4 linked regions of the Arabidopsis thaliana genome follow. The protein of the gene in region 1 interacts with the protein of each later gene in a pairwise test. Each region holds a gene or a part of one and is shown in the gene's direction. Other genes may lie near its edges.

Evidence for each region.
Region 2: the proteins of PRR5 (region 1) and TCP2 interact in a two-hybrid assay, tested with the Arabidopsis thaliana proteins (2 studies listed by BioGRID).
Region 3: the proteins of PRR5 (region 1) and WNK1 interact in a two-hybrid assay, tested with the Arabidopsis thaliana proteins (2 studies listed by BioGRID).
Region 4: the proteins of PRR5 (region 1) and WNK4 interact in a two-hybrid assay, tested with the Arabidopsis thaliana proteins (one study listed by BioGRID).

Annotation. Positions count from the first base shown.
Region 1 is NC_003076.8:8,355,688-8,360,242, reverse strand, and holds PRR5 (two-component response regulator-like protein), read left to right. Parts: upstream 1-1,696; coding exon 1,697-1,922; intron 1,923-2,177; coding exon 2,178-2,339; intron 2,340-2,418; coding exon 2,419-2,549; intron 2,550-2,704; coding exon 2,705-3,159; intron 3,160-3,252; coding exon 3,253-3,862; intron 3,863-3,946; coding exon 3,947-4,039; downstream 4,040-4,555. Other genes in the region: AT5G24460 (RING-H2 zinc finger protein), read right to left, coding at 4,526-4,555. UniProt on the Arabidopsis thaliana protein: Transcriptional repressor of CCA1 and LHY, thereby controlling photoperiodic flowering response. Involved in the positive and negative feedback loops of the circadian clock. With RVE8, forms a negative feedback loop of the circadian clock.
Region 2 is NC_003075.7:10,162,382-10,167,218, reverse strand, and holds TCP2 (TEOSINTE BRANCHED 1, cycloidea and PCF transcription factor 2), read left to right. Parts: upstream 1-1,635; 5' UTR 1,636-1,776; intron 1,777-2,541; 5' UTR 2,542-2,909; coding exon 2,910-4,007; 3' UTR 4,008-4,297; downstream 4,298-4,837. UniProt on the Arabidopsis thaliana protein: Plays a pivotal role in the control of morphogenesis of shoot organs by negatively regulating the expression of boundary-specific genes such as CUC genes, probably through the induction of miRNA (e.g. miR164). Participates in ovule development.
Region 3 is NC_003074.8:1,352,821-1,358,753, forward strand, and holds WNK1 (with no lysine (K) kinase 1), read left to right. Parts: upstream 1-1,715; 5' UTR 1,716-2,263; coding exon 2,264-2,338; intron 2,339-2,419; coding exon 2,420-2,457; intron 2,458-2,897; coding exon 2,898-3,125; exon of another isoform or gene 3,126-3,203; coding exon 3,204-3,424; intron 3,425-3,513; coding exon 3,514-3,671; intron 3,672-3,753; coding exon 3,754-4,273; intron 4,274-4,374; coding exon 4,375-5,237; 3' UTR 5,238-5,415; downstream 5,416-5,933. UniProt on the Arabidopsis thaliana protein: Regulates flowering time by modulating the photoperiod pathway. Phosphorylates APRR3.
Region 4 is NC_003076.8:23,583,258-23,588,345, forward strand, and holds WNK4 (with no lysine (K) kinase 4), read left to right. Parts: upstream 1-1,531; 5' UTR 1,532-2,247; coding exon 2,248-2,307; intron 2,308-2,381; coding exon 2,382-2,647; intron 2,648-2,724; coding exon 2,725-2,948; intron 2,949-3,025; coding exon 3,026-3,183; intron 3,184-3,262; coding exon 3,263-3,572; intron 3,573-3,642; coding exon 3,643-3,942; intron 3,943-4,026; coding exon 4,027-4,424; 3' UTR 4,425-4,544; downstream 4,545-5,088. Other genes in the region: AT5G58340 (myb-like HTH transcriptional regulator family protein), read left to right, coding at 1-399, 486-676, 792-855, 947-988. UniProt on the Arabidopsis thaliana protein: May regulate flowering time by modulating the photoperiod pathway.

The DNA of each region.
Region 1 (4,555 bases):
CTATTTCTCAGTTTAACGCATGAAGTGCTAGTACAAGGAACTAAACCACCTGGCTTATTATTAACCATTTTCTTCATTTGTTTGATTGATCATTACACTAATTGTCCTTTTTTATTACCTAGTAGTTTACTAAGTTTGATTAAGAGAAGAAAACCATAGGGTCCAGTCAATAAAAAAGAAAGTCATAGCGTAGGACAAGACTCTTGTTACAAGAGAGCGAGTAGGAGAGATATATTACACTCGCGGGCGCGTAAAGAGACAAGGAAAAAAGAAGATATTTAGTCTCTGACAGTGACAGCTACCATTTAAAGGTGAAAGACTGTGTCAGATAATAACCATACACGTGTCATATTCCTATCCACCAAAGAACCACGAGGTTTTTAAACAAGTGTCTCTAATCTAATCCCACCCAACAACAAAATATCTAGCCGCGGAAAATTACTTTAAAATTCATCACCCTTTGTCCCTACTCTTGACTCGTGCATGTTCCATTTGATTTATTCCACCACGCAACCAAAATAGTAGCAATAGAAAAAACCAAAATGTTGATAAAAATTTGGTAAACTATGAATCTCTATGATCGATATTCATTTGTTTGATTGTTCCATTTCTTTTCTAATGCAAATCAATATTAAAGTGTTCTTATTTCGTGACTAAAATATATGGCTGGCCGAAAAAATATAAAATAATATATGACATTTGCTATTAGTTAGCACCAGTGATCATTTGGTGTAAGCAAATGTTTTTTGTGCCAAAAAATAATATTGAAATATATGTATAATTAATTCATTAACAAAAAGTTCTTATTTGTTATTTCAGAAAATAAATTATACCATGTGTCCTTGATTTTCTTATGTGAAAAAAAATTGAAATATCCTTATTGTTTTTAAAATAAACAAATTGCAAACCTATGTACCAAACAGAAAATAATACAATTGTTTTTGGATAAATTTGTATAGATACTTTTTCCCACTAGCATTAGATATTTTTTGGGTTTGGTATTATCCCAAAAGTCACGAGTGGGATTTTTATAGGTACTCAAAAGCTAAAATGTCTGAACAATAATATAAAATACATTTTAAAATAAAAGTAAAATTTAGAAGCATCAAATAAGTAATAGTTTCAATGTTTAGTGTTGATCTCTTATTAAAAGAAAAATAAACAAGAAATTCACTAAATATTTCTCCATCACAAATACATAAACATCAATTGCAATAAATATTTTGGTAAAGTATAATAAAAAATTAAATCCAACTTTAAATATGAACCACATAGAAAAACCAAAGGCTAGCCACCACACCAATTTTTTCTTAAAAGAAGGTTATTTGGCGTATTGGATCTCTTTTGTCTCGTATACAGTATTTTGCTGATGTGGCAAACGTGGCCACGTCAGCCAATTCTACTAGATATTTTTTCAAATCCAAATACTCTTTCCACAACCGTTAGATCATGGTCGGTTCGCCACCCACTTTCAATCATAACCGTTAAAACATTCGCTAGATTTTTTCTAGATATTTTCTTTTCTCCACACTATTATAGAAAGAATAAAGTTCTTTTTTTTGCTCTCTTCTCATTTATCTCTCCACTCACAAATATTTTGATTTGTTTTGTAACTGTTTCTCTTTCTCTGGAGCTTTCTTCTTCTTCTTCAATAATCGATTTAGGTTTTTCAAAGCTAAGTGTTTGTGTTGTGATAATGACTAGTAGCGAGGAAGTAGTTGAAGTGACGGTGGTTAAAGCACCTGAAGCTGGCGGAGGAAAGTTATCACGTCGGAAGATTCGGAAGAAAGACGCCGGTGTTGATGGTTTGGTGAAGTGGGAGAGATTTCTCCCGAAAATCGCGCTTAGAGTTTTGCTCGTTGAAGCTGATGATTCTACTAGACAGATTATCGCTGCTCTTCTCAGGAAATGTAGTTACAGAGGTTAGTTTCTGGTTTCAATGCTTGAGATTTAGGTTTTGTTTGTATAGAATCTGAGAATTATGAATTCGATTGAGATGCTAATGTTTTGAATCTGATTCGCGTGCGGCTAAATGTTACAATTCAAAGTCAAATTTAGAAAAGTCAACGATTTTTTTGTCGGTTTTGTGTTCATATAGAAATCTTTATCAACGCTTAGTTTCTACAACAAGCTAAAAGGATTTGTATTAATGTGGTTTGGTTTTGTGTATTGATCAGTTGCTGCAGTACCTGATGGCTTAAAAGCTTGGGAGATGCTAAAAGGAAAGCCTGAAAGTGTTGATTTGATATTAACAGAGGTTGATCTACCTTCAATATCTGGATATGCTCTGCTAACACTTATCATGGAGCATGATATTTGCAAGAACATTCCTGTTATAAGTACGTTGATATATACATCTTTTTCTTCCATCGTTTTGAAATGATTTTTTGGCTCATTATGTATTGTTTTTTTTTCCAGTGATGTCGACACAGGACTCGGTGAATACTGTGTATAAGTGTATGTTGAAAGGTGCGGCTGATTATCTTGTTAAGCCGTTGAGGAGGAATGAGCTTAGAAATCTTTGGCAGCATGTCTGGAGAAGACAAACTGTATGTTTCATATCCATCTTTTGTTTTAAGCTTTATGTGTGATGAATTATCTCTACAACTTAAACCCGTTCTTATATAAGTTCTGGGAAATTTCGTTGTCTTGAAAAGATGATTGAGTTCTCAGATTTGTTTTTGGTTTTGATTATCTTTTACAGTCACTTGCTCCTGATAGCTTTCCATGGAATGAGAGTGTTGGACAGCAGAAAGCCGAGGGTGCGTCTGCAAACAACTCGAACGGAAAGAGAGACGATCATGTTGTGAGTGGGAATGGTGGTGATGCCCAGAGCTCGTGTACAAGACCAGAGATGGAAGGTGAGAGCGCAGACGTGGAGGTTAGTGCGAGAGACGCAGTACAGATGGAGTGCGCAAAGTCTCAGTTTAATGAGACACGGCTTCTAGCAAATGAGTTGCAGAGTAAGCAAGCAGAAGCCATTGACTTCATGGGAGCATCGTTTAGAAGAACTGGACGACGTAACAGAGAAGAAAGTGTTGCTCAATACGAATCTCGGATAGAGCTTGATCTTTCTCTGAGAAGACCTAATGCTTCTGAGAACCAATCTTCTGGAGACCGGCCTTCTCTTCATCCTTCTAGTGCCTCAGCTTTCACACGGTGAGTTGTCTAATTTCTCAATTCTTCTTTCTATTAATCGTTCAATAGTTGTCGTTCTTTCTGCTGATTGTGTGTGTTATGTTCTTGTTGCAGGTACGTTCACAGGCCGTTGCAGACACAATGTTCAGCCTCCCCAGTGGTTACTGATCAAAGAAAGAATGTTGCAGCAAGTCAAGATGATAACATTGTGCTAATGAACCAATACAATACATCTGAACCGCCTCCAAATGCTCCAAGAAGAAACGACACCAGCTTTTACACTGGAGCTGACTCACCTGGTCCACCGTTTAGTAATCAGCTGAATTCTTGGCCGGGACAGAGTTCATACCCTACGCCAACCCCTATCAACAATATACAGTTCAGAGATCCCAACACAGCTTATACATCTGCAATGGCTCCTGCTTCACTCTCCCCAAGCCCTAGTTCCGTTAGCCCGCATGAGTACAGTTCCATGTTTCACCCATTCAACAGTAAACCCGAGGGGTTACAAGACCGGGATTGTTCCATGGATGTAGATGAGAGGAGATACGTCTCTTCTGCAACCGAACATAGTGCAATAGGCAATCACATTGATCAGCTTATTGAGAAGAAGAACGAAGATGGCTATTCATTATCCGTCGGGAAAATTCAGCAATCTCTTCAACGAGAAGCCGCTTTAACCAAATTCCGAATGAAGCGAAAGGACAGATGTTATGAGAAAAAGGTAAAAACTTAACTTCGATGGTTCCATCACATAGATGAACTCATAACGTAATGATACTAAAGGAACCTTTGAATGACTTAACAGGTTCGTTACGAGAGCCGGAAGAAATTAGCAGAGCAACGACCACGAATCAAAGGCCAATTCGTTCGTCAAGTCCAATCCACACAAGCTCCATAGTGATCCAACAAATTGATATATTATATACAGTTCAATTTTGTATCATCAACTAGAGGAATTTTGTTTTCTCCGATGCAGGAGCTGTTCTTTGTACAACTAATTCCACATACGTTAGATTTGGTGACACATTTGTGTGTACATACACATCTTTCGAGCTTGTTGTTGAGTTTTAGTTAGAATCTACGTTAGATCTGTAACTACATACATTTGGATTACGTTTCTGTAACTTGCAAGACGAATTAGAAAGATTGACAAAATCTCAGCTAAACAAATTTCAGCACAAAACAATGAACTCGAAGAAGATAAGCTATAGTGAGATCAAAACTTCTGGAGAATAGTATCCACTAACACAAAAATAGCCAAACGAAGAAGATGATTATGAACATATATAAATGTGTATATGTATCTCTACATGGCTCTCTGATTATTCATGTATCAAAAGCAAGATTGATAAAATTTGTGAAAAGCTTTGTTTTGAGATTTTTTTTAAGATCGAATCGAATCAGGACTAACCCA
Region 2 (4,837 bases), on another chromosome or scaffold:
ACTTATTAAAGTTAATAGAGTATGGTGTAATACCACTTGACTAAAAAAATACTACTAGATTATTAAAATTGCAAACGATTTGTACTAATTCTTGAATTAAATTGTGCGTGTTTTTTCCATGAAGTTCTAGTGATGTGATGTGGGATTGACATAGTGTAAGTTATTAAAATAGGGGTTTGGATTTCTTTATCAATATGATTTGTTAGGTGGAAAAGAAATGTATAGGTTTTAAAATAGTTTTCATTCTTCCTTAAATATCATTATCCCGGAAATTTAGTTATTTCTACTTTAAAATAGTTTGTTTAATTTTTAGATATTTGCTTGGATTATGTGCTTACTTTGATAATTGTTTTGCATTGTCTCCAAAATAAAATTTGTTTTTATATTTTTATTAGGCTAGTACATGTTATGGTTAAAAATAGAAAAATATCATAAAAACTGCTAAATTTAGACATTTTCTCATATAAAATTTTTATTTTTTTTGTTCTATATAAAATCCCAAACTTTTCAAATTTGAACCCGAGCAATGGCTGACTAAGACCTATACGATAATTTAGTTAAAAAGGTCGTTGACGACATATTTTTCATTTGATTAATTTTTGAAATTCACACATAATAGTTACAATTTTTCTAATTTCTAAGATTCATAGTATAAGTTTTTATCGTAATAAAGATATTTTTTTGGTAAATAACAATTAACATTGTTATGATACGGACAGTATATATATTTCCATGTAGCATTTTTTTATAAAAAAATTTCATTAACATAAGCAAACTTTAAACACATAAACAAAATATAAATAATTTACTCACATATCTAAAATTAAAAGACCTCAAACCAAATAGATAATAAAAAAACAGAGGAAGGATTCGAGCTTTATGCTCAAGAGAGAGGGTCGAGTTTACTCTGCAAAATGTTCTGAATATACAATATTAATCATGTCGGAGAACAAAAAGACTAAGAGTGTAGGCGAGACCGCGAGAGTTCCTTTTTTAAAGCAAGTAGATAAAAACTTGGAAAACTAGCTTGAGAATGAGAGATATGTTTATATTGCGGTATGAATCTTTTATCTATCTAAATCTATGTTCCGAAGGAATTGGTGGAAAACCATGAGCTTTACATGTAAAGAATGATAGACCAAACCTATTTTGAAAACATAAAACATGTAGCATTTTTTATGATCGAAACATATCATAGAGTAGATTATTGAGTATTAATCGAATTCTATTTCTATGAACAAACTAAAATCCTAAGGACACTTGGACAAAGTGAATTGTTTTTTTGTTTGTTCTCCTCTCCTACATAAATATACATGTGACATGAGATAATATGATTTCTCATATTCACGCATTGATTTGTTTCTAACATTTCTATAGCATTTATGTTCACAACTTCTTGATATAATAGCTGCCAAAAAAAACTTCTTTAAATATTTTCTTGTGTTTTTATTGCCAAAAACAAACGAAAATATCAAATAATTTTTCTCACCTGAAATCAAATTACTGAGGATGATAATTTAATACAGATATTTTGTAGAGGACCGTGGCAATTCCGTGAATAAGTAATGTAATGAAGGGCAAAAATGGAAATAAAATCAAAGTTTATGCCCAATATCTCTCTCCCCATCTGATGATCACTCCTTTAAAATCACCATCAAAGAAATTCCAATTTTCTCGGATTTTTATTTCTTATATACAAATCCCTAAAACCCTATAGCCCTCTTTCTTCGTCACCTACTACTACTAACTCCAAGCTCAAGCTCCTCTGTTTCTTCTGTAAGTCTCAATTTATCTCATCGAATTTTCCGAGAAACAAACAAAAACCAATCTTTTTCATAGAAAGAATCTGAATTTCGTGTTTATACTTAATTCTGATTCCAAAAAAACAATTCTAGATCTAAGATTTTTATTTCTTGATGAGAATTTCACTGTAGAAAGAAGTGTATTTGTTCCTTTAATTTGCTTTAAAATTTTGGTTTCATATAATCTCAAAGCCAAGAGCTTGACACCTGTGATCTGCATAGAATCCAGAACACATCAATAATGATTCCTTTTTAAGAATTTTTAAATTGATTTAATCTTCTTGTTGGTTACTATGAAACAACTCTTTTTCTTTCATAATTAGAAACACCAAAATCTTTATATAGAGAAGAAAAGCTTAAAACTCGATTTCTGCATTTTTTGTCTTCTTACTCTTTAAAGCCCTCCATTGATAATCGCTTCAGCCGAAAGCAGTTGATTCAGCTTAATTATTTATCATAGCTTCTGATTCTTCTTCTAGCTCCTTCTTCTTTAATCACGATCATTAACTTTAAACCCGTTTTATCAATTGTTGTGATATGTCAGATCTACAATGAGTAGAGCATAAATTCGAATCAGAATAACTGATATCTTAATTATGTGTATATATGAATGAAAGTCATCTGTAGAAAAAGTCGATAAGGATGTAACATATATATATATATATATAAGCATTTATGTATATATATATGTGTAAAGATTTGTTCTTATGAGATTGTTTCTTTGTTTTTGTTATTGCAGGCTTGTGGTTAAAAATCATTTCAGACACAGTGCTTTTGATGACTCTCTGCAACAAACAACAGCAGCTGCAGACAAAGCTTATACGAAGCTGTATCTACTGACTTTGATGGTGAAATATCAAAAACCCTAAATTAATTTTAAAAAAAAACACATTTTTTTTCTTCTTTTGGTTTTTCCTCTGAGGGTATTCATCATCAATGCTTACAAAGTACAGTGGGTAAACAAAACAAAAACAAAAACCCATTTTTTTCTCCTTCTTTAAATCCCAAACCAACCCTAAAGTTTTGATTTTTAATTTTGGGGGTAACCAAAAAAAAACAAAACCCTAATTTTTTTTCTTTAGTGATGAGATTATTGGTGATGATGAAATGATTGGAGATCTAATGAAGAATAACAACAATGGCGACGTTGTGGATAACGAAGTGAACAACCGGTTAAGCCGGTGGCATCACAATTCTTCCCGGATAATTAGGGTTTCACGAGCTTCCGGTGGTAAAGATCGACACAGCAAAGTCTTGACTTCTAAAGGACCACGTGACCGTCGTGTCCGGTTATCAGTCTCCACCGCTCTTCAATTCTATGATCTTCAAGATCGGTTAGGTTATGATCAACCTAGCAAAGCTGTTGAATGGTTAATCAAAGCTGCTGAAGATTCAATCTCTGAGCTTCCTTCACTCAACAACACTCATTTTCCGACCGATGACGAGAATCACCAGAATCAGACATTAACAACAGTTGCTGCTAATTCCTTGTCTAAATCTGCTTGTAGTAGCAATTCAGACACGAGCAAGAACTCTTCTGGTTTGTCTTTATCAAGATCGGAGCTTAGAGATAAAGCTAGAGAGAGGGCTAGAGAGAGAACAGCTAAAGAGACCAAGGAAAGAGATCATAACCACACTTCGTTTACGGATTTGTTAAATTCCGGTTCAGATCCGGTTAACTCAAACCGGCAATGGATGGCTTCAGCTCCTTCTTCATCTCCAATGGAGTATTTCAGTTCGGGTTTAATTCTCGGGTCGGGTCAACAAACCCATTTCCCTATTTCAACAAATTCTCATCCTTTCTCATCAATCTCCGATCATCATCATCATCATCCTCATCATCAGCATCAAGAGTTTTCATTCGTTCCCGACCATTTGATATCACCGGCAGAATCCAACGGCGGAGCATTCAATCTTGATTTTAATATGTCAACACCCTCCGGCGCCGGAGCTGCCGTCTCCGCCGCATCAGGTGGTGGCTTCAGTGGTTTCAACAGGGGGACCCTTCAGTCCAATTCAACAAATCAGCATCAGTCATTCCTCGCTAATCTACAGAGGTTTCCAACATCAGAAAGTGGAGGAGGTCCACAGTTCTTATTCGGTGCACTGCCTGCAGAGAATCACCACCACAATCACCAGTTTCAGCTTTACTATGAAAATGGATGCAGAAACTCATCAGAACATAAGGGTAAAGGCAAGAACTGATGATATTAATTATTGCATCTTTGGTTTTGTTCAAATGCTCATTTTGTATGTTTATCTTTGGTTTATTTCAAAACAAATGTTAATCTCTTTCGTTGTCTGATGTGTGTTAGGGTTTTGTTTTATGTATTGAGGGTCTTTGGAAATCTTTTTGCATTGTGCTTGTAATGTTGTATTTGTGATAATAGCATTTTGTTTGTGAGTTTATAATTGAATTTTTGAATGTTATTTTTGCCATGTAATTGGTATAGTTAGCATTTTTTTTTTCTTTAGTAAATTGTTTATAGTACGAAGATACTGTTTCTTGGTATTCATGAACAAATGGTAGGTCAAGGCAATAGGGCGATCCTTTTAAGGTACTAGATTGAATCAAATCAAATACTCAGAAGAATTAAATACAGAAATTAAGAATTTTCCCAAAAAAATAAAAAATACAGAAATTAAGTGAAGAGACAAAAAAAAACTTGTAAATAAAAATAGAAAGAAAGAAAATATACATAATAATCAGGGAAATAAATAATTTTGATAGACAAAACTGAAAAATTGAGGGTAAGGCCATTATGCATTGAAGAGAGTGAAAATCAAAATGAATTGTCTCCTGTTGTGCTCTATGTTTGGTTCCCTTCTTCCTTAGCATCATCTCTCTCCATATGTATTGTTTTTATAATCTATCTATCTTATGAATATATCTTCTTCATTTGACAGCTGTTGTCTTCAACAATGGCTATTCCCAAATTTTCATGATTTTATTTCTTATGATCTGTTTATATTATTATAAGTTTTTTTAACTTTTTCTTTCATGGGCTACTTGATCTTCTGCACCCACATGGCTA
Region 3 (5,933 bases), on another chromosome or scaffold:
TGGTGTGAGAGGAAAAGGCCAAATGGATAAGATTTGTGGTTGGTCTGATTCATTATTCACAACCAACCAAGTCTTTATTTGCTTCTTTTTTTTTCGTTTAAAAGGCTATGCTGATCGTGCATGTCTTTGTATTCACCCACATGCACATGTGTGTTCTTTCTCTAATATAAGATTGGCCCCCATCAATCTGTTTATTTCCAAATATTATGATAAATCAAATATTTATACCCTGAATTAAATCAGACTTGATTATAGTTAGTCATATTGCACATGATTCCTGTTCACTGTACGATATGTAAATTATGTTGATGGATTGTCGTGTAAATGAAATGATGTATGGTCAAGACTCAAGATAGATAACACGAGCAACTTTAACTTAACACGTGGCCAAACTAACCTTTGTTGCCTCCTTTGGAACATCTAGTCGACATGCTAATGTATGGTCTCGCTGTCTCCAATCCATTTCAGAATTCTTAAATTTTGTGTTTTTATTTCCAAGCTTCTATTGGTAACATTTAGTTAGTTATTTGTAACAAAAACGAAAACATGAGTTAGTTATATAGCATTGTTGTTTGATGGTAGAAGAAGTAGACTAGTCGTTACGATGTAGTTGTATATGTTATAGCGATTGCAATGATTCGTTATAATGATTTTCTTTTTAGATGAATGTCGTCTAATCAAAATTTTGGTTCCAGTTTTTTTTTACCTTTTTCTAAAAATTAATTTTCCAATAGCGTATATGAAACCAAAATATAAGACGGATACTATAATTCAGATTAAAAATGTTGTAGCTAATATTTTAGTATGTAAAATCAACACAAAAAGCATGTCAGCAAACAATATTCAAAACTTTATATCTAAAATCTTTCTAAAAAAAAAAGTAACTTTACCTAAAATATGGTCAAATTCGTAGTGCATTAGGGGATGATACCATTCCCCACCAATGAACGTAATCATAGAACAATGATCATATCCTTTGATTTATTCAAACGAACGATGATCATTTCAAAATACTAGAATATCAATTATATAGTTGAAATGATGATGGCATATACGCTAATACAAATGCAATCCGCACAATGGAATAAACGTATGGAACAGTCTATCATTCCCATCACTCAAAAGATACGTACGAGAGAGCACCTTTCTATTTCCTTTTCTAAGATAGCTGAGACCTGACACGATCACATCCACACGAGGCAACCCAATATTCATATATAATTTGTTTTGAATGTTGATTGTTCTAATTGAAATGAAAACCAGTCGAAGTTTTTAATGACATAAACTAAACCTTTATCAGAATATGGTTCTAAATGTAGTAATTTGTTAATCATATCACACAGTTTAGCCGGTAGGGAGAATTTTTTTTCGGCACGTTATCTCGATGAGATTCATTATTTTGGTAGGTTCAACATTTATTTCACAACAATACTCCGTCGGCTAATGGAATTATTACTATTTGCAAGCATCATCTTTGTGTATAACAAAACAAAACTAAAATCAAAACAAAAGAAAGGTAAAGTAATAGTAACATTTTTGTTTTCTCTAGCTTGTGAATTTGTATAGAATAATCACTAAAATGAATCAATCATAATTTTCAAGTATTCAAGTTACTTTTCCACCGAACAATTGTTAATACTACCACAGAATAATTTCCAATAAATAATTGTCGATAGAGGACACTAATTATATATACCGTATAAAATAAAATCCGTTGCAATTATTTAGAAGTATGTAAAAAGGTTTAAGGAACAAAAAAAAGGTTCCATAAGAAGAAGAAGAAAAAAAATGAAGGATAGATATTTGTTTAGTTTATATCCCATTTTTGGACCACCGTTCCCTAAAGAAACGCACACCGTCTTTGTCTTCTCTCACGAGGTGCTTGTATTTCTCTGTCATCAACCAAAAAAAAAAAACTTCCATTGAACTATTGAAGAGAGAAAAGCTTGGCTTCTCTGTCTTCTAAGCTCAAATCCTCCTTTTCTCTCTCTCTCTATAGAGTTTGAGTATTTATTAGAATGTAATAATGAGAGAGTCTATACAGATACTGTTCTTATCTACTACATGAGTTTCATTGCCCTGTTCAACTCCTTTTGTCAGAGAAGAACAAAAACAATAATATGATTATGCAGAAATTGCTATAAGAAGAAACCTAAACTCTCTCCCATTTATTAAAAGAGAGACGTTTGTATTGGTAGATCTATTCTTATTTTTCCTTTTGGGATTTTTTTATTTGGTTCGTAATTGTGAGATTGAAAGAGAGATGAACAATCTGAGTTATCTTGAACCAGATTACTCTGAGTTTGTTGAAGTTGATCCTACTGGAAGATATGGAAGAGTAATGTTTCCTCCTATCAATCAATCAATCTCAATTATTTTGTTTGATCTTTTGTTGACTTCATTGTTCTTGTTGTTGCAGTACAATGAAGTTCTTGGTAAAGGAGCTTCAAAGACTGTGTGAGAATCTCTCCCTTCTTCTCTTCTTTTTCTGCTTCATGTTTCTCTCAAAGTTTGCAGCTTTTTTTTCTTCTGGATCTGGTGATGATTTAAGCCTAATCTGTTGTTCTTTCTTCATAAAGTTTGTAACTTTTTGTTTTCCCAGTCAAAACCCATTTGTGATCCAACAAATTTGTCCTTACGATTTTTGTGTGTTTTGGATTCATGATTGAATCAAATCCTTTAAAAGAGGAAATAAAAAAGTTGAGCTTTTGTTTTTTTTTGCTTCATTGAATCACTTCTAGTTTGGTCATTAATTCCCCACAAGAGAAATTTCCAACAACTTTGCTTTTTTTGGATCTCTTTATTGCTTTGACTTATACCAAATTCAGATTCTGCAAACAAAAAAACTTCTTTGCTCATACATACATTAATCTTCTTTCTTTCTTTTGATTTTGTAGTTATAGAGCATTTGATGAATATGAAGGCATAGAAGTAGCATGGAACCAAGTTAAGCTATATGATTTCCTACAAAGCCCTGAGGATCTTGAGAGGCTTTACTGTGAGATTCATCTTCTCAAGACTCTAAAACATAAGAACATCATGAAATTCTACACTTCTTGGGTCGATACCGCCAATCGAAATATCAATTTCGTCACTGAATTGTTCACTTCTGGCACCTTAAGACAGTAAGATTCTCTTGTAAACATACTTTTCTGTCGTTGGTTTTAGTTTATCTTTAACGATAACTTCATTTATGGATACAGATATAGACTCAGACATAAGAGAGTGAACATAAGAGCTATGAAGCATTGGTGCAGACAAATCTTGAGAGGCTTACATTATCTTCACAGCCATGATCCTCCTGTGATCCACAGGGATCTCAAATGTGACAACATTTTCGTTAACGGGAATCAAGGAGAGGTCAAGATTGGAGATCTTGGCCTTGCTGCTATTTTAAGAAAGTCCCATGCTGCTCACTGCGTCGGTACTATATGCAAATCCAAATCATATCCTTTCTGCTTTTTAGCTGAGTTTCTTTGTTTCTGATTGTGTAAAGTTTTGATCTTTTGTTAGGGACTCCTGAGTTCATGGCACCTGAAGTTTACGAAGAAGCATATAACGAATTGGTTGATATATACTCGTTCGGTATGTGTATTTTGGAGATGGTTACGTTTGATTACCCGTACAGTGAGTGTACTCATCCTGCTCAGATCTACAAGAAAGTTATGTCGGTGAGACTCTCCGATTACTAAAACACTAAGATAAAAAAGCTTCATCTCTTTCTGTTTCAAAAGGCTAAAAGTTCGGTTTCAGGGCAAGAAACCGGATGCATTGTACAAGGTGAAAGACCCCGAGGTTAAATGTTTCATTGAGAAATGCTTGGCCACCGTATCGCTTAGAGTCTCTGCTCGTGAGTTACTAGATGACCCTTTTCTCCGTATAGACGATGGTGAGTTTGATTTAAGATCAGTTGATATGGAAGATTCGGTCGGGCCACTCTATAGGCAGCCGCACCATCTTCCTGACTACTACAATTACCCGTCGAATAGTAGCTCTTTGAATCGTCAGTACTCAAATGGCAACTACCCGTCGAATAGTAGCTCATTGAATCGTCAGTACTCAAATGGTTATAATAGTCATCACGAGTATCAGAATGGATGGGCGTATAATCCAGCTGAGACAGAGGAGACTCACGGCATCGAGCTCTTTGAATCTCGAAACAATGATGATCAAGAAGAAGAAAAGAAATCTGGTAATGTTGACATAACCATCAAAGGGAAGAGGAGAGATGATGGTGGCTTGTTCTTGCGTCTTAGGATCGCTGACAAAGAAGGTAACAATATTCTCTTTATCTTTTCCTTGTTTCATAACCTATGAAGAAGAGTGGAAAAAATGCAGTTTCTTTCATTTGATTCATGGACTGGTTTGTTGCAGGACGTGTCCGAAACATTTACTTCCCATTTGACATTGAGACGGACACCGCATTGAGCGTTGCAACAGAGATGGTAGCGGAACTGGATATGGACGATCATGGAGTCACAAAAATAGCCAACATGATTGACGGTGAGATATCTTCTCTTGTACCTAGTTGGAGACCGGGACCTGAATTCGAAGAATGTCTTGCGGCTGCGGCGGCGGCAAATGCTGCGAGCATTTGCAACAACTGCGTATCAAACCGCACCTCAATGGGCTCGGTGATGGATTTCCTGAGAACCAATCCTGGGGCAAATGTGATACAATGTTGCAGAAACGGGTGCGGTGAGACTCATGGTCGGTTTGAAGAGATCACGATCAGAGAAACCGAGGTTCGTCTTAGAGAGCTATGGAAGCTGCAGCAACAGCAAGAAAGCCGCGAGCTAAGCTCGATAGATTCAGGCCATAACCATTCCGAAGAAGAGGAGGAAGAAGAGGTGCTATACGAAGACCCCGAAAACATGTTTTCTTGCGAGGCAGGTAACGAGATAAACCATATATCGGGTTCTGGATCGTTCTCGTTTATGCCATCTAAATACTGCGATGAGCCATCCGAAAAAACCGAAAATCAGGTCCAACAAGAGTTGAGATGGCTTAAAGCCAAATGCCAAATTGAGCTTAGAGATATTCAGGATGAACAACTAAAAACCCGGTGGCCGGAATCCGGAGAAGAGGTGGAAATTTCTCCGAAAGACGGGTTCTTGGGTTCGGTTTCCGGGTTAGGAAGAGAAGAAGATACGGTGAAAGAGATGTTTGGAGAAAGATTGGTACCAAAGTGTCTGAAAAGAACAACTTCACTTCCTGTTGATGCCATTGATTCTTGATTACATTCTGTTTCTTCATGTATACATACATATTGTTTCCTATTATAAAGACTTTTACAGTGTAACAAGAACAACACACAAGTATACTTAAGAGATCCTCTTCAAATTCTTTTGGGGTTATTTGTACAATAATACCCTTCAATCTAATAACTTCAAAATGCAATACGATTATAATTTTTTTTATTACTGATTACTTGAAAATTTTCGTTTCTAGCAAGTTGTTTTAAAATCTTTTCAGCATTGACATACTATAGCAAATGATAATAATTGATGACAAGCAATAATGATAGCAAATTATTGAGCGATGTGAAGTCAGCAATCAGTTTCGGAATAAAACTTCGGACAATAAAATTACTCAAAAGTACATTAATAACTTTAATAAAGAAAAACCAAAAAAAACAAATGAATTAGTGTCTACTATGTTCTTAAAACACTTTGGATAATGCAAAGAGAAATCGAATGAGAAAAATAAAAAAGGAAAAAAGTGACAAAAATAGTCAATTATAAGAGTAACCCCACATCAGCACAACGCCATGTTCCATTGCCGACCAATCAACTAGAAATTTGGGTTCATCCACATGCCTTTGTATTTATTTTTCATCAAAAATATGAGATATATATTGTATTAAATATAACATGGTTGGTTTGTCGTTACTATGTGATTATTATAGGAAATGGTTGGACATTTTCAATATG
Region 4 (5,088 bases), about 15 Mb from region 1:
GATGAAAGCACGAGACGTTTTGGGAGTGATACTATTGATATCGCCAACGAGGCGCGTGGTGAAAGGGAGGACGGGAATGGGATTGGTAGAGACAACGCTAATGATGGTGAAGGAATGGAATGTCTGGAGAATGATGGGATTGATAATGTGAATGCAGCAGACGAGGAGCACACAGTGAGTGCACAAGATCAGGAACATGAGCCAAGTCTTGATAAGGGAGACGAAATGGCTGCTCGAGAGCTGAAGGAATATTTAGTAGAGATTCAAGGACACATCGACCCTTCCACTAGGCAAGGGGAAGAACCTAACAGTGCAATTGATCACTCAGTAGATGTCACTCCTCCGCCTACTCGGGTGAATAGGACTGGAACAGGCTGTCAAGACCATAACGAAGCATCGGTGAGTGTTAGTCAATTTTCCCTCAAGATGCTTTCTAAAAATCTTGTTCTTTGGTTCATGAATTTGTGGTTTAATTGTGAAAACAGGATAATGTAAATGAGAAAGGTTCGGATAGTCAGGAAACATGGTCTAGCAGAGTTCGGCCTCGTCGACCAACCCCTGTAACTCTGAGTGTATCTCCATTAAAGAAAGGCGGATTGGCGAAACCACATGTCAGGAGACCAAAGAAATTCTGGAAGCCAGAAGAAGTGGAAGCTCTGAGGGAAGGAGTAAAAGAGTATGCAAACACTCTTTGCCTAGTCCCGTACTCTATTATCAATATTCAATAGTGATACATCTTGGACCTCATTAAGATTATACCACTGGCTCATTTTGTTGTTGTTGTTGTGCAGGTATGGTAAATCATGGAAAGATATAAAGAATGGAAACCCTACAGTATTTGCGGAGAGGACAGAGGTGAACATTTCCTTATTAACATTCATACTCACCATTTACTTGAACAAGATATATGCCAAGTGTGAGTGATGTAAATGTTGTAACTTGGTAGGTGGATTTGAAAGATAAATGGAGGAACTTAGTCGGTGGGTAGAGGTAACATCTTTTGTGAATCTTGTGCTATATGTTTTAAAATGCTGTAGAGTTATTTACCTTTGTGTATTGTGATATATCAACTGTGGAGAACATGGTGGAGAAAGGGCCATTCCCATGTTGTGTGGTGAATGATAATGATGAATGAGCAGAATATAATTATATGCTTGTGGGAAAAATTCTGGCTGCAACCTCTGTAGTCAGTCAGTGTCAAACTTATACGGCTTTTCTTGTTTTAGATATATTCCATCCTTATCTTCATTTCCTAATTCCTACCATGCTTCCCTCTCTCCTTTTCCACGTGTCAACTAACATCTAAACCAGAACAAAACAGTAGTCAAAAAATGCATAACCATTTTGATCTATGATATTGCCTGTCAAACATTCGGACCCTCCTTAGATATTGCCTGTTAACATTCAGACCCTCCTTAGATAAAAAGCGAAGTAATATGATGGGAGCTCTCATGCACATACTTTATTGGTGAATGCATATTTGTTACGTGTTATTAGTTTATTACAGAACCGTGAACTCCTTGAGGGCTGCAGGAACTGGCCGCCAACAAAAACAAAACAATTTTCAACGGTGATGTCACTATCACTCTATTCTCTACAACTTCTTGTCATGTTCCCCACTTCTGTTCTGACTTTTCCCCTTTTCTTTGTCGTTTTATTTTTGTTAACCTCAATCTATTTATTTTGGATTGCTTGTGTTCACCAAACTAATAATTGGTTCAATTGAAAATTGTGCAGTTTCCTCAAGAAACAAAACTCTTTCCTGAATATCGCATTTCCCAGTATCCACACTTTCTTAACTCTTATCCTCTTTGCAATTGTGTTTGTGGTTCACAAAATAAACAAGGGCATCTTTTGAGCATATTTAGCCATGTGTTTTCAATGTGGTACACGTTTGATGATTTTTTTTTCATTTTTGTGGTTTGAGTATCTTGTATTGGCAAGTAAGATTTGTCAAACTTTCGATTTTTAGATTTACAATTGGGTCAATAAAAATAAATATATGATTTTCTATAATATATGTGATGCAAGCAAGGTTAAGGCAAATTGTCTTTATTCTTTTTATCCCAAATGGGTGATTGACGCCAACGACTGTTCAACATATTTTCTGCTGACGCTTCTTTAATGAAGTAGCACGAAGAAGTAAACAGGACGACTTTTGGCCACCGGAAAATTTCTCTGTTATAAAAACGAAAGTCTGTGTCCTCTTAAACATTTTTGGGATCATCAATCGGTTTTTGGTCAACCATGAATATGAATCAAGTTGCAGAGTATGTGGAAACTGATCCAACTGGTCGCTATGGACGTGTAAGTAAGGAGACAGATTCTATGTTCATGGATCAAAACCTTGTTGTAACACTTGGTTTTTTATGTTGGAACAGTTTGCAGAAATTCTTGGAAGGGGAGCGATGAAGACAGTGTACAAAGCAATCGACGAGAAGCTGGGAATAGAAGTAGCATGGAGCCAGGTGAAGCTTAAGGAGGTTCTGCGTTCCTCTGTTGATCTACAGAGGCTTTACTCCGAGGTTCATCTCCTCAGCACTCTCAACCACAAATCCATCATTCGTTTCTACACTTCCTGGATCGATGTTCATAACCACACTCTCAACTTCATCACCGAGTTGTTCACTTCAGGGACCCTCCGACAGTAATTCGCTTAAACCTCTTCTTCTGACAAGATTATTCAGCTTTTGTCTTTTATGACCCTGTCCCGTTCATATGCAGATACAAAAATAAGTACTTGCGGATAGATATCCGAGCAATCAAGTCCTGGGCTCGGCAAATCTTGGAAGGGCTAGTTTATCTCCACGAGCACGACCCTCCTGTTATCCATAGAGACCTTAAGTGTGATAATATCTTTGTGAATGGGCATCTTGGACAAGTCAAAATTGGTGATCTTGGTCTTGCAAGAATGCTGCGGGACTGCCACTCGGCCCATAGCATCATTGGTATGTCTCAAAAATCGTTTGTTTTCACTTCTTGTCCAAATCATATGCTTAGACCTCTTTGTGTTTCTTTTGCATAGGCACTCCTGAGTTCATGGCACCAGAATTATATGAGGAGAACTATAATGAACTCATTGACGTATATTCCTTTGGTATGTGCTTTTTGGAGATGATCACCTCTGAGTTCCCGTATAGTGAGTGCAACCATCCGGCACAGATTTACAAGAAAGTTGTTGGGGTATGTCTTACAATCTGTGAGCATATAAATGAAGCTGTCAGATGAACCAGGCATGAGTCTTCTAATGTTCTCTTTTCAGGGAAAGCTACCAGGAGCATTTTACAGAGTTGGAGACATCGAGGCACAGAGGTTCATCGGGAAATGCCTCGTGTCTGCCTCAAAGAGAGTATCAGCAAAAGAACTATTGCAAGATCCATTTCTTGCCTCCGATGAGTCCTGGATGGTATACACGAGCGGTGCTGGGAATCCAAAGCCCTTCTTGAACGAGAATGAAATGGACACACTGAAGTTGGAAGATGATGAGTTAAGGACCGAGATGTCCATCGCTGGGAAGCTGGGCGCTGAAGATAACAAAATCGATCTGGAAGTACAAATCGCATATGATAATGGTAAATGGGACTAAATTGATTAAGCTGGTCACTTTGTTATTCGGTCGCATAATTGTTTTTTTCTTTCCAGGTCTGGCCAATAATGTATTCTTTCCCTTTGACATCATGAATGATACTTCCATTGATGTTGCAAAGGAGATGGTAAAAGAACTCGAAATTATAGATTGGGAGCCAGTCGAGATTGCTAAAATGATTGATGGAGCGATTTCTTCTTTGGTGTCTGATTGGAAGTATGAGGAAGATGATGAAACCCCTCATGATCATCATCGTCATCGTACCGATTCTTTTCACTCTTCTTCCTCGCACGCGTCATCTTCCCAAGCTTCACTCTCGAACTATATGGCTCGAGGCCTTCAAGATTGGGTACAAGGTATGGAAAGTAACACCAGTCTCAACGTGCATAGTGTGACAATTGTTTTTATAAAAGTTTTTGAGATAGAAATTAAAATTGCAGATGATTTACACGATGAGACGTATTCTCAGAGTTCTTCCCATTCAGGGTCTTACTCCAACCTCAACTACATAGCTGTTGATGAGTACAGCTCCCAATCTCCTGTTATGAGCAGAACTCACAACATGACGAGGTTTTGCCCCGAAGAAAGCTCTCATCTACAGTCAGGACAAGCCAACGCGTATGCAGCTTCCAGTTCAACTAACAGAAGCTTGGCTTCAGACAACCGCACACTTACAAGGAACCGATCACTTGTAGACGTGCAGAGACAGTTACTGCACCGGTCGCCAGGGGAAGAGGCTAGAAAAAGAAGATTGTTCAAAACTGTTGGAGACGTAGAAACAGTTGGGTTTCAGTCACCTTATGCGGTTTCACGGAAGCCACCAAGCTCAAGGCGCTAGCTTCTCCAGTATTTTAATTACTGTAATATATAAGTATACTGTAAAAAACAAGTTTGCTGGTTCAAAAATGTAAAAAGTACATGTGTTTAATAAAGTTGTTCAAAGGGTGTGTTTGTGTTACAGAGAAAGAGTCCTCATGGTGAAATGACTCAAATGTAACCATCTATACCAGAACAAACAGTAGTCAAATATAACCATTTTATCTATGCATGATATAGCCTGTTAAAACTCGGATCCTCCTTAGATACAAAGCTAAGTAAGATGATGAGAGCTCTCATGCACATATATATATGAAATGGTTGATGCCATATTTGTTGTCTTATTATTAGATATCTTACAAAAACATATGTGTTATGTTTTAATGACAATTTAGCTGACATAGAAGGATAGTTTAAAGTTTCTAGGTACGGTCTTGTCAATGCAAGTGATAGATGAGCTTCAAGTAGATGCATTGTAATCCAAGCCACGGAGAAACGCCATGTAGTCTGATTTGCCTAATTCAAAGTCAAGTAAAGCTGCTATTGGGTCGACATGTCCAGCTCCATAGTAGAGTATTTATTAGTTGGGTTTGGCTTTATCCACAAAAGCTCATTTTAAACCAGAACGATCTAGCATTTTGGCGTTTCAATAAAAAAATATTGCGTCGCTTTCTATTTTCATCGGT